Linked DNA regions of Canis lupus familiaris. The main gene of each other region encodes a partner of the protein of the gene in region 3 in a complex. Links are inferred from orthologs where the notes say so. Each region holds a gene or a part of one and is shown on either strand. Other genes may lie near its edges. The genes, in order: POLA1, PRIM1 and PRIM2.

Region 1 (9,465 bases), on a different chromosome or scaffold from region 3:
CACAGCAATAATCTGCAAATAAAAGAGGGGAAAAGATCACTTACTGGATGCCTACTATGCATTCTGCATTTTCATCAAAACCACCAAGAATATTAAAAGATAAACATTTTAATCCATATGAATATTTTAACTTTTTATTATGAAAAGTATTTAAACAAACAAAAGATAGAGAAACTAGAAGGGGAGAGGAGGGAAGAGAAACTTAGAACCATTAATGTCCAACCTGGAACTAGAAGCCAGGGCTCCTGACTCCCAGCCAGGGATCTCAAAAGAAAACAGGTAAGTGATGTTTAAAGACTTCATTATTTTTTTCCAAAGATTTTATTTATTTATTCATGAGACACAGAGAGAGAGAGAGAGGCAGAGACATAGGCAGAGGGAGAAGCAGACTCCCCGCAGGGAGCCTGATGCAGGACACCAGTATCATGATCTGAGCCAAAGGCAGATGCTCAACCACTGAGGCACCCAGGTGCCCCAAAGACTCATTCTTTAAAAAACAAGCTATAGATATGTGTGACCAATAATCTGGAGGATGCCAACCATGGACATAGCTGGGGAAGAGGGGTTGTGGGTATTATTTTCTTTTTTAAATTTGTACTTTCTAGGGTACCTGGCTGCCTCAGTCGGTAGAGCATGCACTTCACTCTCCCACAGGGGCTGATCCTCAGAGCATCCCAAGAACCTTCCCTAACCAGTGATATCTTCCTGGCCTCCCAGGCTAGGGCAGCTTCCTTTAGTAGATGCTATCCAGAGTACGTGTATCCTTCTGTAACTTTTACATCTATTTCTGCTATTGGGCTGGTATCTGTCTCCTCCTCTGTTTTTATGAGTCACAAGTATTCCATCACAGTAGCACATGGTTTAGAAACATTTGCTGCGTCAACAACTTTACTAACAAAGTAAGTTAAACCCTTAGGAAGCCATCTAATTTACACAGGGCTGCAGAATCTCTCTCCCATTCATTCATTCATTCATTCATTCATTCATTCAACATTTACTAAGAGAGAAAAACAGCACAATCAACTCTCATACACCTATCACCCAACTTCAATTATCAACTCTTCAATATCCCTATTCTTGCCTCTATCCAGATGATTTTTTTTTATTTTTTTTAAATTTATTTATGATAGTCACAGAGAGAGAGAGAGAGAGAGAGGCAGAGACACAGGCAGAGGGAGAAGCAGGCTCCATGCACCGGGAGCCCGACGTGGGATTCGATCCCGGGTCTCCAGGATCGCGCCCTGGGCCAAAGGCAGGCGCCAAACCGCTGCGCCACCCAGGGATCCCTATCCAGATGATTTTGAAGCAAAACCCAGACCCATCACTTTATCCACAAATATTTCAGCATGTATCTCTAAAACAAAGTTTCTCAACCTCAGCACTATGGACATTTTTGACCAAATAATTCTTTGTTATGGTGGCTATTCTGTTCACTGTGGGATGTTTAGCAGTATCCCTGGCTGCCAACAGCACCACCTTCCACCCCCAAATTGTGACAACCAAAAACGTCTCCAGACCTGGCCAAATGCCCCTTAAAGGGCAAAAATCTCACCCCACTGAGAACCACTACTTCAAAAGATAACAAGTTGTTAAAATATAACACAATCATAGCTAATATGATTAACAGTAATTCCTTAAAATCACTAAATATCCAGGTAAGATTCAAATTTTCATGTTTTCCCAACAATCTCAATTTTATTTACCAAGTAAGCCCATACTCTGCGATTAGTTGATATGTAAAACTATAGGCACAACCCCTCCCCACCTATTATTTTCCTGCAATTCATCTGTTGAAGAAACTGGGTCATTTGTCTCATAAAATACCACATGGTATCAATTCTGCTGCTTGTATCCCAATAATACCATCTAACATGTTCCTCTATTTCTACACTGCTGGTGAATTCATATTTAGATCTGAAGGCCTGATCAAAATCATATTCAGTTTTTTGGGACAAATATGTTAGAGTTGCCACTGATTGCTTCTATCAGACAGCACAGGCACATCATGTCTGGTTAGCTCTCTTTTAGTGATACTAGCAGCCACTGGTGATCACTGGCTACATCTATTATTTCACGGGGGATTGCAAAGTCATAATATTCAAATTCTGCTTCATCATTTCTTGGATGGAAACCTTCTATGAAGAGACACTTCCCTTTATCGATTATTTGATTACCTGAGGTACAATATGAGTTCAAAAAGGTCAAGAGAAATGCTAGACTCAATCCCTTCATTGACCAGTTTCCAAACCAGTGAGTTGGTTCCCCAGCCACTTTCCCAGATGACCACTGCAGGGTCACTTGTGCTTATGGTATCAGGGTGAACTCATCTGTCTCAATCTGCTGCAGCCATCTATATCCATGCTCAAACTATTCCATCTTTGGCCATTGGAAAACTCTTCAAGTTGACTCCTGAGCTCTTGTGACACATCTTCAGTAGATTTTAATATTGTCCTGGCTTTCTAGTAGAACTAGATACTTCGGGCTCATCTTGGACACTTTCTGCCCTGAATCAGCAATTTCTCTGAAGCCCTACTTTCTTTCTTGTTAAATGGTACTGCAAAGCCTGAAGGCTAGAAGACAGGTACTTTTTTTTATTTAACAAATCACTGGTCAATATTGCATGTAATGTAGGGCCCCAACTTCCTACTCAGAAAATTGGCAATGAAAAAGAAAGTACACAATGACCTCATCTTTCCTGTACAAACTACTGCAGCATAACCAAATAGTGCTGATTAATGAGGAAAAGTTAATGTTACAGAAAAATTTAATAAATATTCTAATATTTTTGTAAAGATTTTATTTATTCATCAGAGAGAGAGAGAGAGAGAGAGGCAGAGACATAGGCAGAGGGAGAAGCAGGCTCCCCATGGGGAGCCTGATGCAAGACTCGATCCCAGGATTCCGGAATCATGACCTGAGCCAAAGGCAGATGCTCAACCATTGAGCCACCCAGGTGTCCCTAAACATTCTAATATTTAACATGTTTAATAAACGTGGAAAGGATGACAGAATTAAAACACTGTTTTACAACTTCTAATGAAATAACTCATTCAGGTAAAAAAAATGAAGGGGGGAGCCATTAGATCAATGGTTCTTAAATGGGAACAATTTTGCTACCCACCCCCAGAGGACAGTTGGAGATGTGTGGAGGTATTTTTGGTTATTACAAGTAGGGGGGAGGGGTGCTAACTGGCATCGGGGAGAGGCCACAGTTACTGCTAAACATCCCACAATGCCCAGGACAGCCCTCACAACAATGAATAATTCAGCCCAAAACATTAGTAGTGACAAGGTTAAATACTTCTCTTTCAGATGAAAACTTGAACCCACTAATCAATCACAGCCCCACTAACAGTGGTTTCACCAGACATTATATGCCTGCTGATATATTATGCAGTATGAAATATATCATACACCTATAGAGCACACTAACCCAAAAAGTCAAAACTGAATCTAATAAATTATTTAGTGCTAACTAGTAGCAGGGGTGAGCAAACTGGTTCTGTAAAGAGCCAAGTACTAAGTATTTTAGGTTTTCAGGTCACATGGCCACTGTCATGGCTAGTAACTACAGCAACTGCAGCTGTGAACTAATAGGCAGGATGTCTTTCAATTAAACTTTATTTACAAAAACAGATGGTGAGGCTAGATTTGCCCATAGGCCATACCGTGCCAACCCCGGTACACAGGAAGAAGTCCAATGACACGAGGAAGCAAACAGAAAATGGGACATTCTATAAGACAATAAACAGTGATTCTTAAGTCAATGTCAACAGAAAAAGAGAGTGGGAGGAAGCTGCTCCCATTTAAAAGAGATTCAAGAGATATAAAAAATTAAACATCTGTGAATCTTACATGAATCCTGATTCAAGGAAACCAACTGGTAGAAAACATTTTTGAGTCAGTAATGTTGTAATAACTATGTGGTAATACAGATGGTTACTAGGCCTATCATGGTGATTATTTTATAGTGCATAAGAACATCAAATCACTATGTGGTACACCTGAAACTAATGGATGTCAAAAATAATCCCAAAAGACATTTTTGATAAAAAGAATCATATGAATATGGACTGAGTATTTTATTTTTAGACTGGATCAAGGTATCACTGGTATAGTTATTAAGTGCAATAATGGTATTCTACAAGAAAGTGTATATGTTTTGAGAGATGCATACCAAAGTATACAATGGTAAATTACACAATATCTGACCTTAGCTTTTAGAATACTTCCAGCAGGGAAAACAAAGTGGAAGGAAAACAAGTGTGACAAAATCTTGCTTACTACTGAATGAGTAAAAGGATTATGGAAGTTCATTATATTATTCCAAGTCCACTTAAAGTTTTCTAAAATAAAAAATTCAAATAACAAAAAATAAAAATAAGTCCAGAAATTTAAGTCTTTAATGAAAACTCCAACACCCAACAAATTCAATTCTATCTCCAAAATGGAGTTTGGGAGTGCATTAGTATTCTTTCTCCTCCAGAAAGAATAATATCCCCTTGTAGAATAGTTGTACAAGTTCAAGAAAGCATTGCATTAAAGCATAGGTACAGGGGTACCAGGGTGGCTTAGTAGCTGAGCATCTGCCTTTGGCTCAGGTCATGATCCCAGAGTCCTGGGATGGAGTCCCACCACTGGACTCCCCATGGGGAGCCTGCTTCTCCCTCTGTCTATGTCTCTGCCTCTGTGTCTTTCATGAATAAATAAATAAAAATCTTCAAAAATTTTCTGGGATCCCTGGGTGGCTCAGTGGTTTGGCACCTGCCGTCGGCCCAGGGTGTGATCCTGGAGACCCAGGATCGAGTCCCACGTCGGGCTCCCTGCATGGAGCCTGCTTCTCCCTCTGCCTGTGTCTCTGCCTCTCTCTCTCTGTGTCTCTCATGAATAAATAAATAAAATCTTTTTTAAAATCTTCAAAACAATTTTAAAAAGCATAGGTACAAATTTCTTTACCTCATGTTGATGTGTCTTTGCATTCTGCATTGTCTTCATGCTGAAAGACATGACCACGAGTGGAGGAGGACCAATATCTTTAATTACATTCACCAGGTCTGGTTTCAAGGCCATTGCCTCAACTTTACACCAACTGACTGGCTGATTCAAGAGCTCTGAAAGAGAACAGATAAAACAGATCAATAGCCATTTGTTGAAAAAGGAAAACTACTATAATTAAGATATCTGTGATTAACTGAGAAAGTCTTCAACCCCATATTCCAATAAGAATGTCTTATTACAACATCTAACTAAAAATAAGTCCGATTATTGGGTTGTATGCAAAGTCGTGTGTATGTACAGTATGTTCATCTTCCTGAGAAAAAGGTCCACAGCTTTCATCTGATTTTCTTAAGAATCCAGGACCCAAAGAAGTTTTTAAAAAAAAATAAAACCCCACCCTAGAGGAATCACAAAACATTTTTTTTTCACAAAACATTTTTGAGAGATTCATGAAGCCAAAACAGAGTATCACAAATGCAAATACTGGAAAACATGAGGTAAGAAACCAAACGAGCACTAGCCACATCAGGCAGTGATGCTTTCCCTCCTTCAGAGTCAGCAGTCCACTACGTATAGCAGGTGGGCTTCATCGGCCAGGTCAGAAGTACATGCCAACAACAGCACAAAGAGAGATGCATGCAAACGACCACCTGGGCTAACACCTCTCCCACTCAACTGCCAGGCACCACAGCAATAAAGTGGATCCAAACACATTCCCAATACTCACTTAAGGAACATCTTGTGAAAAACAACATAAAAAAGGAAGGAGAGGCACTGAAACACAAAGACCAATTCCTTAACTTCTAAAAATCTCCTCTATCAGCAACCTGGCTTTCCAAATGTAAATTTTTCCTTACGTGGATTTTTCACCTCGAGCCAACAAGGTCCCTTGATCTTTCTGTTCATCAAGAACATTTCTAGGCTGGATGTGTTGGTCCCAAACACATGAGAAAAAGTTTCTCCTTTCAAATCCTGAGGAAGCTGTGGCATTTCAGCCTGAAAAAGGCAAAGAAGAAAAAAAAACCCTTTTTTGTTTAAAACTATTACTTTACATTTTCCCAAGTCTATATTTGAAATAAACAAAAGCCTCTTTATGAACCTCCAGAAGAAACCCCTTTGATATATATGAAATGTAATTTGCAATACATGAAATCCAAAACAATTCACAGTAGGACACAAAAACAATTCACAATGACAAAATAATGCATCTTGATGGCACTCATTAGAAGAAAAATAGGCCAAGAAGCTCCCCCAAAAGAGGATTTCTGTCCAGAGCTGTACATGCCTTACTGATAAATAGCCAAGTAAGTACCACTCCATTGGAAGAATAAAAGCAAGAGAGTGGAACTCATTTAAAATGGTTCTATGGTACTTTTCATCACCACTGTCAGAAACATTTCTTAGAAGTTTCCCTTTTCCAACATCATGAGATCAAAACTCTATAACAGAGGTAAAAAGAGGTTAAGGCCCAGTTAATTAATGTCCCACAGCAATGACCTTGCCTATCAGAGAAGCAAGAGCAGCACTACAGTGCCGCTGACGTTCCTCTCTCACTTTTCTGCTGCTCAGAAGGGACACTTCAACAGACTAATGATGTTCAACTCCACCACATGGCATTCATTCCATTTGACAAGCAGTTGTGTGGTTTCAACTCACTTATTTAAAGATGCATACTTAAGGGGTGCCTGGGTGGCTCAGTCGGTTAAGCATCTGCCTTTGGTTCAGGTCATGATCCCAGAGCCCTGGGATTGAGCCCTGCGTCAGGCTCCCCACTCAGCAGGGAGTCTTTCTCCCTCTCCCCCCTACTCATGCTCTCTCACTCTCCCTCCTCTCAAATAAATAAGTAAAATCTTTAAAGATGCATACTTGAAAGCCGAGAAAGGCAGTAAAACTAATGATCTATATATTCAAATTAATTGTATCCATTTTAATTACTCATTACTATAAGTCCACCCCAATGAACTGTGGGGCTTGAGGAGTCCTCCTGATACTAATTGAAATTTCAAATATAGAGAAATGTCATTCTCAACCAAAACCCAGTAACTTTCTTTGACTTACCGAGTATCTAACTTCCAAGTACTCAGATTTTTCTGGAACATCAGGTATCTCAAAAGCATAATTCTTTTCCACTGGCTGGGTAAGTAGATATTTAAAAATAATTAAGAAAAATGCTTTTTACAAATTAAAATGACAAGCATATACACAGCACACATCCCTGTATTCGACACTGAGGAACCCAGTAACCTCATGGAACACAAAGGTAAATAAAGCCAAAAGGGCACCCTTTCCCCCTTTCCATTGGGCCTAAACACCCAGTGACAAAATGCTAAAAAGACTTCTCTTGGACACTAGAGAACTTGGAAATGTTTGCATTCAAGAAGGGCAATAAAAGATTAAAAATATTTATAATGTTAATGTATTAAATCATTTGCTACTCTTTGATACTAACCAACTCCATCTTGAATGGAGAATTAATATTAGCATTAAAATTATAGCTCATATTTACTGAGTGCTTACTAAGTACCACGGACTATTCTAATCACCTAATAAGAATTCAATGGCTTAATTCTTGCAAGAACTTTTTTTTTTTCTTCCAACAACTCTTGATATAGGGTCCAATTTCTCAGGTGAACAATAGGCCCAGGAAAGTCACTCAGCCCTTCTCCAAGGTCACACACTACAAAGTCCTAGGGCTAGGACTGAAAGCACTAGCAGTCTGGTCCCAGTATCTATGCTCTTTACCATTATACCACACTATTTCTAGAATTTTAGAGGATTTATCCATCAGCCATAATTCAAAGCTCAAATAGTTAAGATGATTAACCTTATCTTCAGCAACTCAATCCTCCCTTTGCTGCAATCACTGTTAAAAGTATCCTGAATTACAAGCCCCTATGATGATGGCCAAAGGTGGTCCTTTATTGCACTAAAATCAAGACCAATCAATATGTAACACATAAATAAAAGATTTTTATTCTATCGGAAACAGCATCATAGTCCCTGATTTTTAAATATAAAACCTTAACCTTCAGACCAAAACAACCTGCCAATAACTAATAAAAACAAGATCACAAGAATTTCTTCTCCATTTCAGAAAAAGAATACAAGATATGCTGCAAGTATGATTACTATGTATTATCTTTCTATTCAAATTCACGAAAATTATTTTCCAAGAGAAAAAAATAGTTTTACCAATCTTACGTATTAGTTTTACATTCATACCTATGAAATTTCCAATGAATTATAGCCACAAAAAAGACATTTTTCGCAAAGAAGATATACAGTAATTATTTTGTAAGTCAGGAAATGAACAAATAAAAACAGCAGGAAAAAATTATCACCAAATACAAACCTTAGACTTGAACTTCATGATTTTATATTTTGCTGCTATTTTCTCATCAAATTCATCATAAACATCCTTCATTGTAACTAGAGTTTCTGTTTCTTTTCCTGTATTTAGATCAATTTTCTGCTCTCCCATGGAGAGGAGAGGGGAGGGAAAAAAAGTATCTGTACATGAGATCTTTTTAACAACAAGAAACCCATGTCTAATTCAATTTTCAGCTTCAGCCATTTAAACATTTAGAAGAACAGTCTTATAGATAGAGGAGTTCAAAGATACCAGGAGACCCCCAAAAATACTAACCCCAATGCCCAAATCTTCCCAGTGGCATCATAAAAGCACATAAGATAAAAATGACTGATTCTACAAAATGGGAGAATAGTGTGGTAAATCCTGACCAAGAAGCTTCACATTCACAGTTCAACTGAGATCTCAGGGGAGGGACTGGGCTTAGGAGGGGAGTGTGGATGCTAAGTCGTAATTTAAAAAGGAGGAGCAAATGTAGCTAAGCTGGTTCAACGGCCGTGGAGGGAACAGTGCTGCCTGCACAGCAGAAGCATGACAACTGGGCCAAATGCCATGTGACAGTTTAAAGCCATATACTCCCAATCCTGATTACTATGGAAATGAGGGGTGGGGGAGAAGATACCATTATACACTAAAACCCACACTTTGACAGTGTAATGGGTCAAAAAACACAGTTTTACTCCATTCTCTATTTCTCCCAGCCTCTAACAGAGCTGCTGACAACCAATGGTTACTAGGCAGACAGCAAGAAAGAAGCATCTAGGCTATGGGTAAGTCATAGCCCCAGTGAAGACTACGATTGGTGGCAGAACATACAATGTACTTGGAATTAAGAGGCTAACCACTAACAATTACCATTTCTCGGGGAAGGAAGTAGAGTGTTCGCTCGATGTTTTTCACCATAACACAACAGCTCACATGGGTTTTGGCAGATTCAATCCAAACTTTGCCAAACAGAAATACCACACCTAAAAGAGTAAGAGAGGACCGTGAGAAAAGAAACATTTCAATTATATCACAAGAGGCAATATAAAGGCTCACTGTATGTGTCCAGACATTTATGCTTTCATGACACATTTTTTACAGTAAATTTGTAT
Region 2 (10,063 bases), on a different chromosome or scaffold from region 3:
TGCTCTAGCTATGGCTTGCCTCTTAGCTCCACCTCTCATCAGGCCTTCCCTTCAAGTCTGAGTCTGAGCTCTGTCCATATGGAACTCAAGCAGTTTCTGGAAAGTGCCATGCCATTTACAATTTTGTGCCTGTGTTCCCTGTACCAATCCTACCCAATTCTTAAGGAAAATGCTGATACCTATAGACAGCTGGGTTATAAATACACCTATAACACTTCATTACATTTTTTTTTAATTTTTATTTATTTATGATAGTCACACAGAGAGAGAGAGGTGCAGAGACACAGGCAGAGGGAGAAGCAGGCTCCATGCACCAGGAGCCCGACGTGGGATTCGATCCCGGGTCTCCGGATCGCGCCCTGGCCAAAGGCAGGCGCCAAACCGCTGTGCCACCCAGGGATCCCTCATTACATTTTTTGATTTGTGTTTATTGCCCCTATTAGGTTATAACTTTCTCAGAAACAAAAACTATGTCATTAATTTTTTTCGCCCTACAATCTAGCTAAGTGCTCAACACAAATGTTCATTAACTATCTGTGGATCTATCAATCAAATAGATCATCCTTTATATGTTAAAAACATCCGAAATAACAAGAGTCGAACTAGAAAGGAAGTCATGAAGTAGGTGTCCAAGTCTGCAAATAATTTGCGGAGACCTAGGATTGATGGATTACCCAAAGAGGATGATGGTAGATGTATGTAGTAAAAGAAAACAGGATGGCAGACGGTTTATGGCTTGAAGGACAAAGGGGTTTTGCACCTTTGTGGATGAAAGCACAAGGGGAAACCAACTGAATGGCAATACTGCCTCCCAGTGGCACCTAAAATAACAGCCTCTAAAGCAGGGCACTTTTACAGAATAACAACTTTCTGATAGAGTGTGGTTGTGGCCTAAGAACTGTGCTAGGGACTTCTCACTTTATTTCACTTAATTCTGACAACAACTCCTTGTAGAGACACAACATGTAGCTTAGCAGTTAAATGCAGAGAGCTTTCTGGCTTTCCCAACATACTAGGTGGTGTGACCTCGGACCAAGAATTTAAGTTCTCTGCATATTTCCCCATCTATAAAATAGGATAATACTACTATCTACCACATAGGGTTCTTATGAGGGATAAATTTTTTAAAGTAGGCTCTATGCCGAGCGTGGCTCAATGAGCCTGAACTCATGACCCTGAAATCAAGACCTGAACTGGGATCAAAGTCAGACTCTCAATGGACTAAGATATCCAGGTGCCCCAATTAAGTTCTTTTTTTTTTGTTTTTAACAATCCTATACATTACTCAGTGGTCACCATAGTAAGTGTAGTCACCGTCTGTCTCCAAACAGTGTTATTACAATCTTATTCACTATTGGGACGCCTGGGTGGCTCAGTGGTTGAGCATCTGCCTTTGGCCCAGGGCATGATCCCGGAGTCCTGGGATCGAGTCCCGCATCGGGCTCCCTGCATGGAGCCTGCTTCTCCCTCTGCCTGTGTCTCTGCCTCTCTCTCTCTCTGTATCTCTCGTGAATAAATAAATAAAATCTTTTTTAAAAATCTTATTCACTATATTCCCTATGTTGTACTTTTCATTTCTGTGACTTCTTTATTTTATAACTGAAGTTAATACTTCCTAATCCCCTTTATCCATTTCACCCATCCCCCTACCCACCTCACCTCCAGCAACCACTATTTGGTCTCTGTATTTAAGAGTCTGGGTTTTTTTTGTTTGTCTCTTCATTTTGTTTCTTAGATTCCACATATGAGTTAAATAATAAGGTATTTGTCTTTCTCTGTCTCACTTATTTCACTTAACATAATAGTCTCTAGGTCCGTTCCTGTTGTTGCAAATGTCAAGACCTCACTCTCTTTTATGGCTGAGTAATATTCCTCTGTGTGTGTTTGGGGGGGTGAGGTGATATCACATCTTTGTCCATTCATCTATTTTAGATACTTGGCTTGCCTACATATCTTTGCTACTGTAAATAATCTACAATAAACATAGGGGTGCACATATCTTTTCTAATTAGTGCTTCCATTTTCTTTGAGTAAATACCCAATCATAGAATTACTTGATCATAGGGTATTTCAATTTTAATTTTTTGAGGAAAGTCCATACTGTTTTCCACCAATTTACATTTCCACCAATAGTCCACAAGGGTTCTTTTTCCTCCACATCCTCACCAACACCTGTTATTTCTTGTCCTTTTAATTTTACCCTTTCTGACAGGTGTAAGGGAGAAAAATAAATTCTCAAAAGGGTACTTGACAGCATAGCGAATGCTATATAAATAGTAGCTATTATTATTCCCTTTTTCTGATGAGAAAATCAATGTTAAATAAATTGAGTACACAGTAGTAACTTAAAAAAATATAACTTCCTGGGATCCCTGGGTGGCGCAGCGGTTTGGCGCCTGCCTTGGCCCAGGGCGATCCTGGAGACCCGGGATCAAATCCCACGTCAGGCTCCCGGTGCATGGAGCCTGCTTCTCCCTCTGCCTGTGTCTCTGCCTCTCTCTCTCTCTCTCTCTGTGTGTGACTATCATAAATAAATAAAAATTTATATATATATATATAACTTCCTTTGCTTTTTTCCCTTACATCTTAGCTCTCTCAGGTGTTGTGCTCCTTAGTGGTTCTGAAATTCAAACAGGGGACTCTCAAATATTCCAAAGAAGTCAGTTCCTAAAGGCAGCAACGCAAAAACTGAGAAACCTCCATTAAAAAGTCCAGAGGGAGGGGAAGCCCGAGTGGCTCAACGCTTGAGTGTCTGTCTTTGGCTCAGGTGGTGATCAGGAGTCCTGGGATTGAGTCCCATGTTGGGCTCCCCTCTGCCTATGTCTCTGTCTCTCTCTGTGTGTCTCTTATGAGTTAATAAATAGAATATTAAAAAAAAAAAAAGTCCAGAGAGAGACGGCTCTGGAAAAGAGCACTCCCTATGGCACTCTTGCCTTTCTTATTAGAGAGAAGATCTTCCCAGTAACAAAATTCACCCTACTCAAAACAAGATGCATAAGGATTGTGAAAATCAACTAACTTTGTGCACGAAATTAGATTTCAAGGAATATTCAAATAAGTATGATCTGCCCAGAGTCTATTTTTGACCACTTTGCCCACAGAAGCTAAAAGACTGTGATCATTTTCGAGATTAGGCTAATAGAGACTCTATTCTCTCCTTGTTCTTCTACTGTTACTGCAAACATAAAATTCATGAAAATGATGGTTTTCAAGTAACATACTTTGTAATTATAGACTTCCCACCCCACTCCACATTTGCAATGAGGTGTATCTTTACCAGGTAAGATTGATTGGCAGATCGGCACGTTAGTAGCAGACTCCTTTCAAAGCTCTCCATGATTCTGCAAGATTTCTCTAATTCAGATTTTAGGATTCCTGGGTGTTCTATTTGAGAGACTGAGTATACAAACAGTGGCCATATGTAAAGACAGAAGTTTGAGGAACCCTGGCTGGCTCAGGTGGAAGAGCATGCAACTCAGGGTTGGGAGTTCAAGCCCTATGTTGGGTGTAGAGTTTACTTAAAAACAGAACCCTGACCTACAACCTGAAGAAGCCAACCCAGAAAACCAATCCCCCTATCTATAATAAACACCTCAGGAAGCCAGCCTGCTGTAAGTTAGACTTGCAGAAGTCAGATCACTGTCTGTAGTAATAGTCCAGGAAGCCAAACAATAGCCCCTATAACAACTGGCCCCAAATGGCCAGCCCTTGATTAATAAATACCAGCTTCCCTAAATTTTGTGGCCACTTCCAATTTAGGACCAACCAGATAAAGTCAAATATGTGTCCCTACTCCTGGATAGCCCAACTACAGCTTTCCCATTGCAAACAGCCTTGAATCGAGGTATACCTGAAACCTCCCCTCCCCCCACTGTAAAGCTTTCCCTTGCCTCTGCCCGCCTTTGAGTCTTTGCCAAAACTCCAGTGTCTGCAGCTGACCCCTTGCCATATAGCAAACTCTGAGTAAATAGGCTTTGATTTTCTTATTTGCTTGGTCTTCGTTTATTTCCACATATTAGACCTAGTAATTCTATGAAGAATTAATTTCCAAACCCTCTTTAAAAGATACTGGCTTACACTGTTTAAATGCGTTATTTCTGAAACATTCATAAAGTTAGCGGGGAACATCATTTCTTACTTCATCTTAGCACCTACTTCCAGAAGCCCAAGGGCTCACCTTTCTGCACGGGATCCCTCCCGGAACGGAAGCGGCTTTCCTCTGCCCACCAGAGCAGCCGAGTTTAGCGAGGCAGCTGATTCGCTGAGATCCCGCCGGCCCAGGCCAACCCCCAAGAGGGAACTACAATTCCCAGAGGCCCTTGCAGAGGCCGGGGCGTGGGCACAGCGCGCCTGCGCAGTGGCCGAAGCCCGGGTTGTGTGCTTCCCGCCAATTCTTGCGATAATCCTGCAGAGGTTGAGTCCCGTGCTCCATGGCGACGTTTGACCCGGCCGAGCTGCCCGAGCTGCTTAAGCTTTATTACCGGAGGCTTTTCCCCTACGCCCAGTACTACCGCTGGCTCAACTATGGCGGAGGTGATGGAAGCCGGGGGCGGAGAGGGGAGTGGTCCGGGGGGCGGTGAGGAGGGGGCTCTGGGAGGGCGCCTCCTGCGCGCCGGGCGTCCTGTCGCGCGCTCCCACCACCTCAGGGGTGTAAAGGGGCCGAGCGGGCGAGCGTAAGCAGCCTCGGCCCCTGCGCGGTCGGACTCCGGTCAGGGCCGCGCTCGCCGGCCGCGGTGCCTGAGCCCGGGCGACGACTGGGTCCGAGCCTCAGGCTGCAGAGGCGGCTCCCGCCTCAGGGCCCGCGCGCGGGCAGCTCCCGGCAGGGGAGAGCTGCCGACTTCGCAGCTGAGCTGCTTGCGGCCCGCTGAGGAGCCGCGGGTGACATTGCACCTTTAAATATTTCTGCTTTTCCCCCATTTTTACTTTTCCTATCAGATGCAGGATGGTAAGCCCTTTCAAGTCAGGGACTAGGTCTTTTTTTTTTTTTTTTTTTTTTTTTTTTAACATGTAGCACAGGGGATCCCTGGGTGGCGCAGAGGTTTGGCGCCTGCCTTTGGCCCAGGGCGCGATCCTGGAGACCCGGGATCGAATCCCACGTCGGGCTCCCGGTGCGTAGAGCCTGCTTCTCCCTCTGCCTGTGTCTCTGCCTCTCTCTCTCTGTGTGACTATCATTAAAAAAAAAAAAAAAAAAAAAAAACATGTAGCACAGTGTTAGGCACAGAGGGCTCATTAAAATTATCTTCTCATGGGTCAGAGTTATAATGCCCCGAGCTGAATAAAGTACCAAATTAACAAAACAAAACAAAAAGTACCAAATTAACTTTAAAATTGTATATTTATTTTGCAGTAATAAAGAATTACTTTCAACACCGTGAATTTTCATTCACATTGAAAGATGATATTTACATTCGCTACCAATCCTTCAGCAACCAGAGGGATCTGGAAAAGGAGATGCAGAAAATGAACCCATACAAGATTGATATAGGCGCGGTATATTCCCACAGAGTAAGAAGTCTTTTGTGTATTTTGTAGTTTTGTTTTTAAACCAAGAACGGGGGATCCCTGGGTGGCGCAGCGGTTTGGCGCCTGCCTTTGGCCCAGGGCGCGATCCTGGAGACCCCGGATCGAATCCCACCTCAGGCTCCCGGTGCATGGAGCCTGCTTCTCCCTCTGCCTATGTCTCTGCCTCTCTCTCTCTCTCTCTCTATGTGACTATCATAAATAAATAAAATTAAAAAAAATTAAAAAAAAAAAATAAACCAAGAACGGGGCAGCCTGGGTGGCTCAGCGGTTTAGCACCTGCCTCTGGCCCAGGGCCTGATCCTGGAGTCCCGGGATCGAGTCCCACATCAGGCTCCCTGCATGGAGCCTGCTTCTCCCTCTGCCTGCGTCTCTGCCTCTTTCTCTCTCTCTCCCTGTGTCTCTCATGAATAAATAAAATCTTTAAAAATAAATAAGTAAAATAAACCAAGAATGGATTGGTGCCCCCATCGTTCTGAGATTTAATTTTTAGAGCTTATTCTAGTGGAACCCCACTTTAACTTTCTTGCAAGTAAATTGCAGTATTTTTTGTTCCTTGATACTCTACATTTGGAAGTGAGTTGGTTGTATTCTCACTCGGACAAAAATATTGAGTATCTGGCCGAAAGAGTAAACGAGGAAGTCAGCATGGTTTAAAGGACGGTATTTTTAAACAATTACATTGTCTTCCAGCATTGGAGGTGTTTTGTTTTAAGTAACTTCTTTATCCAATGTAACTCTGAGATCGACAGTCACCTACTCCATGGGCAGAGCCAGGCCAGCACCCCATGGAGTCTTGATTCCTCTGTTTCTTTCACACTCTATATCTGTTCCATTAGGAAATCCCTTTAGCTCTACTAAAATAGTATCTGAAATCCAACCACGGGTACCGGTGCTACTACCATTATCATCTTTCATCTGAATTATGGTAAAAACTTTCTAACAATTTGCCCCTATAGATTCTAAAGTCTATTCTTCAGAGAGTAGCCAGAGCAGTCCTTTTATTTTTTTTTTAAGATTTTATTTATTTATTCATGAGACAGAGAGAGAGAGACAGAGACACAGGCAGAGGGAGAAGCAGATTTCACACAGGGAGCCCAACGTGGGACTCCATCCCAGGTCTCCAGGATCATGCCCTGAGCTGAAGGCGGCGCTAAACCGCTGAGCCACCCGGGCTGCCCAACAGCAGTCCTTTTAAAGCAAGTCAGAATCTGTGATTCCTCTGCTCAAAACCATTCTCCAGTGGCTCCCCATTTCACTCAGAGTAGAAGCCCCACTCTCCCCCTCACTCCCTCCACTCCAGCCACACTAACCCTTGCTCAAGCAGTTTCCACTGCCCAATCCCGTTTTCCCAGGTATCTTGTCGGTTCCCTCCCTCACCTACTCAAGTCTTCACTCAGTGAGGCCTACTGTAACCTGCCGCTCCTACCCATCGCTACTGATGTAGTCTAAATGCTAGAATAGTGCCTGGCAGAGAGAGTGCACCATAAACATTTGTTGAACGAGTGAACATACCAAAATTGCCATTCTTTCTCTCCTTAAAAACACACAAATGAGGGGGAGAAATACGCTTATGGGATAATAGCTTTTATATGGAGCTTTTTCTTTTCTTTCTTCCCAGGATTTATTTATTTATTTTAGAGAGACAGTGCAGGTGTGCAAGCAGGGAGAGAGGCAAAGAATCTCAAGCCGACTTACTGGTAGAGCCCAACACAGAGCTGAATCCTCTGACCTTGAACTCATGACCTGAGCCAAAATGAGAAGTCAGACACTTAATGGACTGAGCCACCCAGGCGCCCCAGGCTTTTTTTTTTTTTTTTTTTTAAGTGTTTCCTACTCCTATTATTTTCTGCTCCCCAGAGCCAACTGCTTTCTTTTAGCTGATTCTTAAGGTATTTGCCCCTCGTGTGTAAATAATATTTTTGTATTTCTTCTGTTTTCCATTTTAAGCATAATGTACTTGACCTTCTACTCTGGCAAGTGAGGATTTAGCTTTTTTTTCACCTCACCTTCCCATTTCCACATGTCCCAATATGTTAGATTAAAAATCTGGGTGGCCCAGTCAGTTAAGCATCTGCCTTTGGTTCCCGGGGTCCTGGAATCAAACCCCACATTGGGCTCCCTGGGGTCATGTTCCCGGGGTCCTGGAATCAAACCCCACATTGGGCTCCCTGCTCAGCAGGAAGTCTGCTTCCCCTCCCCCTCTGCACCTGCCGCCCCCCACTTGTATGCTCTCCCTCTCTCTCTCAAATAAATAAATAAAATATTTTTTAAAAATCAGGTTAGATCACTAAGTCAACCCCAAATTTCTTGCCAATTGTCTAATCTCCTAATGTATTCAGACACACCAGGTAGTTGGTCAGTTTCATCCCAAAGAAATTTCACTGGAGCTTTCCAACCTCCAAGCTGGACTGATTGCTCCCTCTAAGCCTCATGGATAAATATGATCCTGTAATCACCCCAGTTTCCTTTCACCTCTCTCCTATTTTGGATCCTGTGTTGCCTGAATCCTTTGTTCTCTTTGTGGTTTACTTCCTGGTTTGGGTAGAGCACATCCTTCAGGAGCTTCCTGAGAAAAGGTGCATGGAAAAGAAAATACTTGACACTTTCTGTATCTGGAAAATGTCTTCATTCTACCTTTAGGCTTAAGTAATGGTTGAGTTTGTAAATCAGTTTCCCCTAGTTTCCAGTGTTGCTGTTAAGACTACTGATGCAGGGGGATCCCTGGGTGGCGCAGCGGTTTGGCTCCTGCCTTTGGCCCAGGGCGCGATCCTGGAGACCCGGGATCGAATCCCACGTCGGGCTCCCCGTGCATGGAGCCTGTTTCTCCCTCTGCCTATGTCTCTGCCTCTCTCTTTCTCTCTGTGTGACTATCATAAATAAATAAAATAAAAAAAAATAACTATCTATATAAACTGCATTTAAAAAAAAAAAGACTACTGATGCAGGGCAGCCCTGGTGGCGCAGCGGTTTAGCGCTGCCTGCAGCCTGGGGTGTAATCCTGGAGATCCAGGATCAAGTCCCACATCAGGCTTCCTGTATGGAGCCTGCCTCTCCCTTTGTCTGTGTCTCTGCCTCTCTCTGTCTCTATGAATAAATAAAATCTTCAAAAAAAAAAAAAAAGACTAATGCATTCTCATTTTTGTTCCACTATGTTGGATTTGAAAGCTCTTAGGATTTTCTACCTATCCCCCGTCTCCCTAATGTTCTAAAATTTGACTATGATGTGCCTTGGTGTGCATGTTTTTACACCTATTGTGCTAGATACTTGATGGGCTCTTATAATCATGAACTCATGTCCTTCAATTCTAGGAAATTTTCTTTTTTCTCTTTTAAGATTTTATTTTGGGGACACCTGGGTGGCTCAGTGGTTAAGCATCTGCCTTCAGCCCAGGGAATGATCCTGGGGTTCAGGGACCGAGTCCAACATCGGGTTCCCTGCATGGAGCCTGCTCCCTCTGTGTATGTCTCTGCCTCTCCGTGTCTCTCATGAATAAATAAATAAATCTTAAAAAAAAAAAAAAAAAGGTTTTATTTTGAAGTAGTCTCTATACCCAATGTGGGGCTCAAACTTAAAACACAGAGATCGGGCAGTCCGGGTGGCCCAGTAGTTTAGCGCTGCCTTTGGCCCAGGGTGTGATCCTGAAGACCTGGGATCGAGTCCCATGTTGGGCTCCCTGCATGGGGCCTGCTTCTCTCTCTGCCTGTGTCTCTGCGTCTTTCTCTCTGTGTGTCTCTCATGAATAAATAAGTAAAATCTTTTAAACAAAACAAAACAAAACAAAACACAGAGATCAACAGTCTCATGCTCTACTGACTGAGCCATCCAGGCACCCCATTTTTTTTCTTAAATACAATTTTTTTTATCTATAATTTTTCTCTGATGTCTCTAGAAATCCTTAAGTCAGATGTTATATGTCTTGGACTGGTCCACTACTTCTTTTCTAATCCTATTTTCTATTTTTTTGTCCTTTTGCTCTCCTTTCTGGGGAATTTCCATTGAGGTTTTCATTTCTGCTATTTTAATTTCCAAGAACTTTTTTTAGAGCATCCAATACTTTTTTTCATTGATACGTCATATCTTTCTGAGGATATCAATGATAGTTTAAGTTTTTTGTTATACAGTGTTTTCTCAAAGTTGCTTTTTTTTCCCCGTTTTAACTCCTCTTTCATATTAGAGGCTTTCCTCAAGTCTGGTAATTTCTTGCATGTTGTTTATATTTAAAAATAGAGTACTAAGGATGCCTGAGTGGCTCAGCAGTTGGGCATCAGTCTTCAGCTCAGGGCGTAGTCCGGGTTCAGGGATTAAGTCCTCTGTTGGGCTCCTTGCAGGGGGCCTGCTTCTCCCTCTGCCTGTGTCTCTGCCTCTTTCTCTCTGTCTCTCATGAATAAATAAATAAAATGTTTTTTAAATAAAGTACTAAAAAAGCTGATTGGAAGATGTGTATACATGGCTAAGATTTATTACAGAGTGATCTGGCTGGACCAATTTTGGGGAAGGAAGTTCTGATGTCAATTTCTCTAGAACTTTGCTTAAATGAAA
Region 3 (10,074 bases):
CCAGTGCCATCCATCCAAATTTTACATCCTTCTACTCTGCTTTATTCTTTCTGCTTAGTAGTTATTATTTAACATCATCATGTGTAGACTTCTCTTATTTTGTTGTCTCTCTTTCCCACTAGAAGATAAGGTTTATGAAGGCAGGGATTTTTGGCTATCTCATCACTGTTGTATCCCCAGCATAGAAAACATTGCCTAGCACTTAGTAGGTACTGAATTAGTATTTCTAAAACAAATCAGATAAGGCTGATATGTGGAAGGGTATTCTTTTCTTCCTTTACTATCCTTTAAGAATATACTTTTTCTCTGGTTCTCTTGCTCTTTGATGCTGGACGAATAAAGGCAATCTGAAGGGAGGAAAATGAAGTGCTCTTTTAAGTTTCTTTCCTTGCCATGTCCCAGAGGTGGGCAGTGAAATGAAAAGGGTGGAGGGATCAGTGTTGCCTAGCTGTGTCTTATTTTCTAGGTCAGCTATGGTGCTGGAAATGCCTTCTGTCTTTGCTTCCCATGGCAAGCAGAACTGGCTAGATCTAGAGTTTATAGAGTCCTCACTGTGTAAAGAAATGTACCACACCTTTGATTTTTAGGGTAGCACACCCTGAACAGGGGAAGAATGGGCACTCACTTTGACTTACCAAGCATGGTAACTAAAATTTTAGTTTTAAGTGTGACACAATACAGGACAGAACTCTTGATACCTGTGGAGTCATCTGCGAGTGAATGCCCTGTGAGATAGCCTGACTGTAGCTGGGTAAAGTCCAGGGCAGGCACTGAATTGAGCAGTGATGATTCATGGAAATTTTGTCAGAGACGGTACTCTGTGCTTATTATAGGCTATACTGGGGAGCCAAGTCATTCTGGAAGGAATGTGTATAAAGTTTTCAGATGAGGACTTGAAGTTTTATATTTTGGAGCCAACTTTGATTCAAACCATCTGTTGCATATCAAGCTGAACCCATCAGTCTTTTGATAAATCTTTCCTATTTTACATTAATTCAGTATAATTAATATTTGCTGGGGAACTTGGAGTGCCATATATTGGGGTTACAAAAATGAATGACACACTGATCTCTGCTTTTCAGATGCTTAAGGTCTAGCAGAAATAAAGGTTATATGTTTATATGTTTTTCCACCTCCAGTCTCCATAACCAGATTATGAGGTTGAGGTCTATAATTTATGTGAATCTTGGTTGCCAGGGATGAGCATTGTGTTAATCCATTTTTAAAAAATGAAATAAATACATGAAAGAGCTTGCGGTGATTTACCAAATATGGTCACTGAAGTGGATAACATTATTGAGCATTATTCATACTGTAATGTGTAGATGTGTATTATAATTGCCTCTGGATACAGAAAACACTCTTCACAGTGAGGTAGTGACCAAAGGAGAGTGTTCTGAGCAGTGTGTTCATCAAATCATCCAGTGGTTCACATTCTCATTGTACTATATGGAATTGCAGAGATCATGGTGGTTTAAATGAGGAGCAGCCTATAAGCAAAGGCTCAATAGGATGGAAGAAGGCAGCAGTTGACTACTTGAAGTATGGGTAGAAGTCTTACAGCAGGGCTGGTTAGGGCTTTTGGAGACACAAAGTAGGGAAGTACAAGGTCTTTTGGGGAAGAGCTAGTAGTTCAGAGCATATGTTGGAGGGTAGTGGTAGGCAATAAGATGATCAAATCTTGGGGCCATGCTGTGGAAAGCCTTCAGATGTTTTTGAACGATTAAAACAGAATCTTAAAAATACCATAAAATGTCTCATAGTCTACCTCACTGCTAGTTGCTTAGTTGCCATTAATGTAAAACATGTTTATGTTTGTAGGAGACTATTTTTTTTTAAAGATTTTATTCATTTATTCATGAGAGACACACAGAGAGGAGAAGCAGAGACACAGGCAGAGGGAGAAGCAGGGATCCCAGGACCCCGGGATCACGTCGAGTCAAAAGGCAGGAGCTCAACCACTGAGCCACTCAGATGCCCCAGGAGACTAATTTCTTTAACAGTCCGAAGAACTATAAAAGATATCAACTATTGTAGAGAAAGAGGTATTGACATTTAAGTCAAAGGTGGGATGCTTTACTACTGGACTAAGGATAAAGCTAAGTTAAATAAAAACTAAGTATATCTCAGAGTGGCTGTCTTGCACCTAAAATTTTAATTCCAATGGATACCATCTGCCCAGATAGTAAGGGGGGGAGGTTGGAGGTTGGTGCACTAGTGGAGGTACGAAGCAGGAGTTGCAGAGGGCTGTCCCCTGGTGGAAGTCAGAAGCATTGTAGGAAAATGTACTAGTATGGCAAGAGCAACTTTCATTCATTCATTCTCAACAACCATGCAATTTTTTTTTTAAGATTTTATTTATTTATTCATAGAGATGCAGAGAGAGAGAGAGGCAGAGACACAGGCAGAGGGAGAAGCAGGCTCCATGCAGGGAGCCCAACGTAGGACTCGATCCCAGGTCTCCAGGATCATGCCCTGGGCTGCAGGCGGTGCTAAACCACTGCGCCACCCGGGCTGCCCACAACCATGCAATTTTATTGCTTAAAACAAAATGTTAACAGTGTCTGTCCCTGGGTGACAGTATAAGCAGATTGCCGCATCATAGGTGGATTTTCTTTTTGACATTTTCCAAAATTTCTAAAATTTAATTTACTAGGGAAAAGTAGTTTAAAAATGACTTGTTGGATCGCCTGGGTGGCTCAGCTGTTGAGCGCCTACCTTTGGCTCAGGGTGTGATCATGGAGTCCTGGGATCGAGTTCCACATCGGGCTACCTGAATGCAGCCGGCTTCTCCCTCTGCCTATGTGTGTGTGTCTTGTGAATAAATAAACCTTTAAGAAAAATGACTTGTCAATTAGGTAATGTTTTTACAAGATTGGGCTTATATGGCATGTATGGTTTTCTGTATTTTGCTGTTAATAGTATCCTAAGCATTTTCCCAAGTCAATAGTCTTCAAAAACACGTATTTTGAATGGTTGTGTAATGTCCCATAATAGGACTATACTATTATTTATTCTTTTTTCCTGGGTTTTCACTACTATAGTGGTTTAATGAAGTTTCTCGAACACAAATTTTTGTGTCCATTTCTGAACAGATTCATCTAAGTTAAACTGTATGAATTCTTTTAGGGCTCATAATACACATTACTATATCGTACTCCAGACTTTTAGTACCGCAACAATTCCTATGTGAGCTCATTGTACTGGACTTTGCCCAGCACTATTTTCATTGTAAAATCTTTGCCAGTTTTGTAGAGGAAAATTTCTTTGCTGTCAATAATAAACACTTTTTCATATTTCATGATTGGTTAGGAGTTATTTGTTGCTGTTCTTTTCCCACTTTTCAGTTTTTGTCAGCATTTTTTTCTAATTTACTTAAGCTCTTTACATTTTGATGGTATTAGTCATCGTACATTTTCCCCTAGTTTGATGACTGCAAAAAATTTTGTGAATTTTTAAGATGCCCGATTTTACATTTTTATAGTCAAATCTTTAGATTTCTTTGTACTTTATTTACATTAATTTCCTATCCAGAGATCAGATAAATATTCACGTAAATGTTCCTATCGTCTGTGCTCTAGGTTTTTCAGGCAGTTCTCATGTTTTCAGGTGTCTTCTTTGTATCAGGTTATGTTAATTATGTTGTCTGATACAGAGAGGAAAGAATTAAAGTGAGGCACTGCTGTCAAAACGTGGAATTAGGGATCCCTGGGTGGCGCAGCGGTTTAGCGCCTGCCTTTGGCCCAGGGTGCGATCCTGGAGACCCGGGATCGAATCCCACGTCGGGCTCCCGGTGCATGGAGCCTGCTTCTCCCTCTGCCTGTGTCTCTGCCTCTCTCTCTCTCTGTGTGACTATCATAAATAAATAAATAAATAAATAAAACTTAAAAAAAAAAACCAAAACGTGGAATTGGTACTGTATGCTAGTTAGCACTGTGGTGCTTGGAGTCTCCCTCACTTTGAACCTGGCCCTGTCATTTATACGATCTTTGAAGTAACTTAACTTCTTGCCCTTTTCTGTGGTTTCCTTATCTGTAAAATGGGTTAATAACATAACCTATCTCATACAGTTATGAGAATTGATGAATTGATGTAGAAATCACTTAGAACACGTCCTGATACAAAGTCAGGGCTAGCCGCAGCTTGATCCACGATGGGTAGGTGCTTTGAAGTTTGGTATTGTTTCGATATATTTTGCATTTCTAAAAACCTGACGTTTCCTTTCAAAGCGCTCTTCACCTGCAATGATCACCAGATCTTTCTTCAGCCACTTTAGTGAGGCACGCCTCCTAGAGGCCACAAGTGAAGCTTATTTCGAGCTCCTGAAAACCCTACAGATCTCCTTTGGAGAGCTGGTGTGGCTCTGACCCACCGCTTGCTTCCGATGGACCCCTACTTCTTCCCTCTGAGCCTAATCTCTTCAAATTTCTGCAGGTCCCGGAGCGCGATCTGCGTGTGTGCATTCATCCTAGCTCCAGCCATTTTGCGGGGGCTTACTAAGCGCGAGGCGTGGGGTGGGGGTGGGGGTGGGGGTGGGGAACCCAAGAAGGTCGAATCTGTCTTTACGGTGCTTGCCGTCCCGTAGGGAAAAAAAAAAACCAAAAAAAGAGAACGTGCTGTGCATAGATGGACAAACTAACGTTCATCTTTTAGCTTCCATTTTCTCATCTCTAAAATGGAAGTAATACAACCTACCTTATAGGGTCGCAGAAAAGATTAAACAAGGGAAAACAGAGCCCCCAAGAGCCCCCAACGGGTGAGAAGGGAGCGCAGCCATCGCCTATTGCGGCATCCTCCTCCAGCTCCAGAGCGATCAGTCTACCCGGTGGGTTAAGGCGCCAGGCTCTTGGGAGCGTGGGAACTTCCACCGCTAGTCTTCCCAGTGTCACTCGTCAAAAGCTCCCGGTTGCAGGTACAGGAGGTACAGCTTGCAATCTGGAAACACAAACCATCGAGTTTAAGAAATTCTAAGCCGGCAAAGCGGGCTCAAAGCCCCCGGGAACCCGGGAGCCCCCGCACGGAGCATGCGCAGGGCGCGCGCTGGGTGGGCGGGACGTGCGAAGGGACGCTGTTGTCCTCGTCACTTCCGTTTCCGGTCCCATACGAACTCTCCCGCCATCTGAGGAAAGCGGCTGTTGGGGTTTGTGTGTTTTCGTATTTGGTGTGATTGCAGGTAAGAGGATCTCCTGCGGCTCTAGGACGGACAGTAATCTTGGTGTTGAGGCTTCCAAGTGGGGAAAGAAGGGAGAGCACTTTGCGGGCGGTGAGAGCCGAAGGATGACATGGCGGGGTGAAGGTACTGGGTGTCGGTAGGTTGGGGGCAGACACAGGTGCCAGCGAGTTGAGGGGACAGAAGCTTCGCCTGAGAAGGGCTCGGTTAGGATGGAGGCGGGTAATTTTTATAAGGGGCTTTGGATGCTTTCCTACAAGCCCGGAAAGACTGGATTAGACGTGTTCTGTTTCCCAGGGTTCTGAGGTAGGAAGTAACTGGGCCCGGTGCATTCAGTCTCTGCAAAGCCAGAACCTGCCGCGCTTTCTTCCACATTCAGGATCGCAACCCGTGTTAAATCCCACCTTAACTCTCGCGACCGCAGAGATCTAAGGGCGGTGGCACATAGACTTAGAGTGAACAGGTAACATAGCCTGACTTTGCTGTCGCCGCGAGTTATGGCTTCCACCTGCATACACCTCCCCCCACTCTCATGACGGAACTGTGTCAGGTCCGGTGTAGAAAACCTGGAAAAGGCAGAAAGACAGATTACCCAGGGATAGTCACTGTTAACATTTTATGCATGACCTTTAGGTTTTTTTTTTTTTTTTTCTGTATATGTGAAGTTTCTTTTTGCACTTTTTTTGTGGTCAACCCCACTTGCCATCATTTTAACCATTTTATGTTTCCTTCCAGGGGAATGAGATGCAGTTTTCAGGGGGAATGCGCAAAAAACTGAGGTTGGGAGGTGACCAACGGAAGGCTTCCTACCCTCACAGCCTTCAGTTTTACTTGGAGCCACCTTCTGAAAACATATCTTTGATAGAGTTTGAAAGCTTGGCTATCGATAGAGTTAAATGTGAGTGATATTTGAATTAGCGTTTATATATTCTTGAGAACTTCACTTACACTTTTTGTGGAATGAATGAGGGTAATTTATTTCCTTCAGTTAATTCAAGAAATATTTATTGAGGGCTTGCTTTTTATTTACTGCACAGTGTATGTTTATTGAGTGGCACTATACCCTAGGTTGGGTGGGGATTTTCAGATGAATAATGTAATTCTCATATTTGTTGAAGCTGTATTCTAGTACATAGATACAGACATCCAACGTAATAATCATAATTTAGTATTTTAAATGTCTTACTAGAGGTAAATAGTAGTGTTCTTGAAACAGGTGAGAGTGATTAAGACTGCTTAGAGAAGTTGAAATGAAAAAAAAGAAGTTAAAATGTAGTCTGGACTTGGAAGGAAGAGTAGAAATTTCTCAAAAGAAAAGTAAAAGATTTTTTTTCAAGATGAGATAATGGACTATACAAAGGCTTGGAGGCATGAGAGAATGTTATATTTGAGGGAACAGTGACAAGTTCAGGATAGGTGGAGAAGAATGGATAACCAAGGGCATTTTGTGCCAAGCTAATGGTGTAATATTGGTGTGTAAGGAGGATGTGGCACTTGTACTGCTGGCCTGCTTATCCTCTGTGTGCTAGTGTAAGAAAGAAAGAAGCTGGGCATGAATTGAAGCAGAAGTAATAGCAGTGTCTTCTGAGTTTCTGTTCCAGGATATCCTGGTGGGAAAATCAGAAGGTAAAGTGAGCTAATATTAGTCACTTTTAGAGGAGTAGAGTGGCACCTGCTAATGCAGAAAGAGAGCACTCAGTGCCTGTGGAGTGAAAGAGTGAAGACAGGAGAGAAAGGGGTTTCAGGAAGCTTAGCAGTGTCAGATGCTTCATAGATTAAGATGATGATTGAAAAGTGCCCTTTGAGTTTGGCATTTATGGGGTGAGATGATGAGGGCCTGAATTAAGGCAGTAATGGTGTCAGGAATAGGAAGGGAGTGATTTACAGGATACTGAGGAGGTGTTCCTGAGAGGAGTTGGTGATTATTTGGATGTGAGGAGTGGAGGGGCAGGTGGGAGTGGCTGAAATTTCAGTTGGGATGACCTGGTGCTTAGAACCTGTGCTAATGGAGATGGTATGGCAGGAAGAGGAGTAGGACTGAAGGGAAGAGAATTAGTTTAGTTTGGGATACCATCATGATGTACCTGTGGGGCATGGGTTTATGTTCAGGATTCATTTTAGATGTTTTTCATTGTTGAATTATCAAAATGCTTTTCATATTGATGGAAGTAGAATTCTTCTGAGGAAGGATTGAAAAGGTACTTTGGAAACCTTTGAAAGATACGTGCCTCTGTTCAAGGCAGTTCATTTAGTACACGGGGGGGCTTTGCTTCTTTACTACTACTTCTTTACTTCTTCTTCTCTACTTCATCAGTAAAGGAAGGGCTATTTTTTCTGAGGAGTCTATGCTGAGTCAGTGAAGCAAACTGACAAACAACGTTAGGGATGCAAACAAGGGTGCTTAATTTTTTTTTCATGCCAGCACACATGAATTCCTTGACAGTGGTGGCTCAGTACCAGAGTAATTATCCCCCATCCCTCTCCCTCTGCTTGAGAATCCCTGGTATTAGATTATGTTATGGGACATGGATATTTTCTGCACATGGATGGAGATTATCTTCTTATAAATTTATGTAATTTGTATAATGTACTTACAAAAAATAAAGGTGTTACAACTTGTCATCTTTTAAAAACAAGTAATTATGGAATTGCCATTCATTTGTCTTGGGACCTAGTTTTTAAAAATTACCTTGCATTCATACATTTTCTCTTCTGTTTTTATAATATTTTCTAGTGCTAAAAGCAGTTGAAAATCTTGGTGTAAGCTATGTGAAAGGAATTGAGCCATACCAAAGTAAGTTGGAGAATGAGATCAGAAGGCTCAAGTTTTCCTTCAGAGTAAGTAAAAGCGGGAAAGAAATGTTCTTCAGTTTGTATATATTTCTGTAGTGGGTCTTGGTTGTGGAAAAGATCTTGGATTAGGCCCAGGGCTTTAAAAAAGACTAATATAGCATAGACTCTGCCTGAAGATATATCTGCAGCCCACTAGGGGTGATTGACATATAGTCAGATGATCATAATACAGCAGGGTTTCTCGACCTTGGGATTATTGACATTTGGGCCTGATAATTCCTTGGTGCAGGTAGATGCTCAGTAGTGTCTCTGGCTTCTGTCCAGTAGGTATCTGTAGACATTGCCAGATGTACCCTGTGCACCACAACATGAGGGATGCCGATAGATATGTGCTCTAGGAACTTCAAGAGTACAGAGGATTACCCAGCTCACATTGGGGAGGTTTGGGAAGACATCCCAGTTCTAGCTAGTGCTGGAACTGAATCTGATAGATGTGATCAGATTTTTATTTTAGGAAGATGACTGCCAACAGCAGATTGAATGGGCCATATCTGGTAGGAGGAAAAACAGGTAACCTGGAAATAATGAGAGTGAATTGAATGGGGAGAAGAGGACTGATATTAAGAGATATTATGAAGGTCAAATAAACAGATTCTAGTGACATTGCAGGGAGAAGAGAGAGGAGAATTAGGAATGACTCCCAGGTTTTGGTTAGGACAAGTAGGTGGAAGGTGATAGTAGTTTGAGAGGTGATATATACAGAAGGAGAAGCAAGTCTTAGAAGGAAGATGTTGAGTTCTAAACATGAATTGGAGGTGCTCGTGGAAATGCTTAGTGGATAGTTGGGTATACGTGCAGGTTAGATTTGGGAGACACCTGGAGTGGGAATATAGATTAAAGAGGAAGGTTGGTATCAGGAGGAGGAAAATATTTGAGTGAGAAGATGATGATGGACAGGATGTGAAGAATACCAATATTTGAAGTGAAGTAGATTTGGGGGAGTCTAGGAAGGAGATTGAGAAGGAATTGCCAGAGAGGTAGATCAGCAGGGATGATAGTGTCATGGTAGCCAAGGAGGGCTGGAGCTGACATCATAATGATCGTGATATAAATACCAATACCATAAGAATAACGAGGAAGCATTCATATTCTACTTATTGTATCCCAGAGTTCATTCTAAGCATATTACATATATTAACCCATGTAATCCAGTTAATAGTCTTATGAGGCAGGTACAATTGTCACCACTATTTTATAGATAAGAGAATGGAGTTACTGATAAGCTACATAACTGACCCAGGCTTATAGGACGATAAGTGGCAGAGCCAAGATTTCAAATCTGGACATTTTGTTTCCATGATGGTGGTATCTTTAACTACATATTTCAGAAGCTTAGGACCATGTAAGATGAATGGTACAGAAACCATTGGATTTATCAGCTTGATGGAGCCTTGTAGATGGAGGCAGAAGCCAAAATGATGGCAGTGTTTGGAGGAGAGAAGTGGGTACAGAATATGTACTCTTGTAAGATGGCTAGCTGAAAAGAGAAGAGAAATAGATCTGAATATAGAAGAATTTATAGGGAAAAGAGAAGGCATACAAACATGATGGGAGATTACTTGAACATGCTTATAAACTGAGTGACGAAGAGAGAGAAGAACCTAGAAGAGAGAGAAGAGGAGCAGAATTTGAAGATAATTTGAGAGAGCATTTGATAAATCAAGATACTTAGGAGGCAAGAGCAGGTGGATTGCATGGCTTAGGTTTAGGGATTAGCTGATGTAGGAGGAGGGAGAGATCTTTTGTCCACAGAGATGGAAGGGACACTAGTACAGTGTGGATGCAGAAGCTCGGAGCTGAAGAAGTTGGCCCGGTGGCCTTTATTTTCTGTAAATTAGATGAAGTTATCTGTTGAGAGAGAACAGGAAGGTGGTGTGGTAGGGAGCTTAGCTCAACAATTGAAGACTGAAACAGCTTTTCTAAGAGTGAGGAAAGATGATTATGTGTCAAAACCCTTTTCTATTGCTTATAAGCATTGTGACCCTGGAAAAATTATATAACATCCCTGTGCCTCAGTTTCCTCATCTTTAAAATAGGGATATAGTAGTACT

The links.
Region 1: the proteins of PRIM2 (region 3) and POLA1 are in contact, whole or in part, in a cryo-EM structure (PDB 8G9F), measured with the Xenopus laevis proteins. The link is inferred for Canis lupus familiaris from reciprocal best matches to the Homo sapiens genes PRIM2 and POLA1. Residues at the interface, in XP_018121015.1 of Xenopus laevis: Pro34, Pro35, Thr36, Glu37, Asn38, Ile39, Ser40, Leu41, Ile42, Phe44, Glu45, Ile49, Ile107, Phe110, Ile111, Leu114, Cys117, Gln118, Ser119, Glu120, Asp121, Arg123, Ala240, Arg241, Leu243, Val245, Val246, Gln247, Arg251, Leu252; in NP_001082055.1 of Xenopus laevis: Leu842, Lys853, Ile894, Pro895, Glu896, Leu971, His974, Arg977, Glu978, Leu981, His982, Glu985, Gln988, Lys989, Asn991, Glu993, Asn1007, Asn1009, Arg1101, Asp1102, Glu1106, Gln1109, Glu1221, Asp1224, Gly1225, Asp1227, Ala1229, Leu1230, Met1233, Trp1234.
Region 2: the proteins of PRIM2 (region 3) and PRIM1 are in contact, whole or in part, in a crystal structure (PDB 5EXR), measured with the Homo sapiens proteins. The link is inferred for Canis lupus familiaris from reciprocal best matches to the Homo sapiens genes PRIM2 and PRIM1. Residues at the interface, in NP_000938.2 of Homo sapiens: Glu165, Ala168, Ser169, Pro171, Ser172, Phe188, Ala189, Leu192, Phe195, Arg196, Gly197, Arg198, Val200, Tyr201, Leu202, Glu203, Asp204, Gly205, Phe206; in NP_000937.1 of Homo sapiens: Lys147, Glu148, Asp149, Phe150, Gly151, Phe152, Ala180, Val181, Gly184, Ile185, Glu187, Tyr188, Ser190, Leu191, Lys193, Lys207, Ile208, His209, Pro210, Ile212, Arg213.

What each region holds. Positions count from the first base shown.
Region 1 is NC_049260.1:20,336,158-20,345,622, reverse strand, and holds part of POLA1 (DNA polymerase alpha catalytic subunit), read right to left. Parts: intron 9,337-9,465; coding exon 9,224-9,336; intron 8,468-9,223; coding exon 8,351-8,467; intron 7,132-8,350; coding exon 7,057-7,131; intron 5,995-7,056; coding exon 5,856-5,994; intron 5,112-5,855; coding exon 4,957-5,111; intron 13-4,956; coding exon 1-12. UniProt on the Homo sapiens protein: Catalytic subunit of the DNA polymerase alpha complex (also known as the alpha DNA polymerase-primase complex) which plays an essential role in the initiation of DNA synthesis.
Region 2 is NC_049231.1:1,325,116-1,335,178, reverse strand, and holds the start of PRIM1 (DNA primase small subunit), read left to right. Parts: upstream 1-4,348; 5' UTR 4,349-4,430; coding exon 4,431-4,533; intron 4,534-5,347; coding exon 5,348-5,505; intron 5,506-10,063. UniProt on the Homo sapiens protein: Catalytic subunit of the DNA primase complex and component of the DNA polymerase alpha complex (also known as the alpha DNA polymerase-primase complex - primosome/replisome) which play an essential role in the initiation of DNA synthesis.
Region 3 is NC_049233.1:24,767,051-24,777,124, forward strand, and holds the start of PRIM2 (DNA primase large subunit), read left to right. Parts: upstream 1-5,062; 5' UTR 5,063-5,173; intron 5,174-5,905; 5' UTR 5,906-5,914; coding exon 5,915-6,068; intron 6,069-7,904; coding exon 7,905-8,008; intron 8,009-10,074. UniProt on the Homo sapiens protein: Regulatory subunit of the DNA primase complex and component of the DNA polymerase alpha complex (also known as the alpha DNA polymerase-primase complex) which play an essential role in the initiation of DNA synthesis.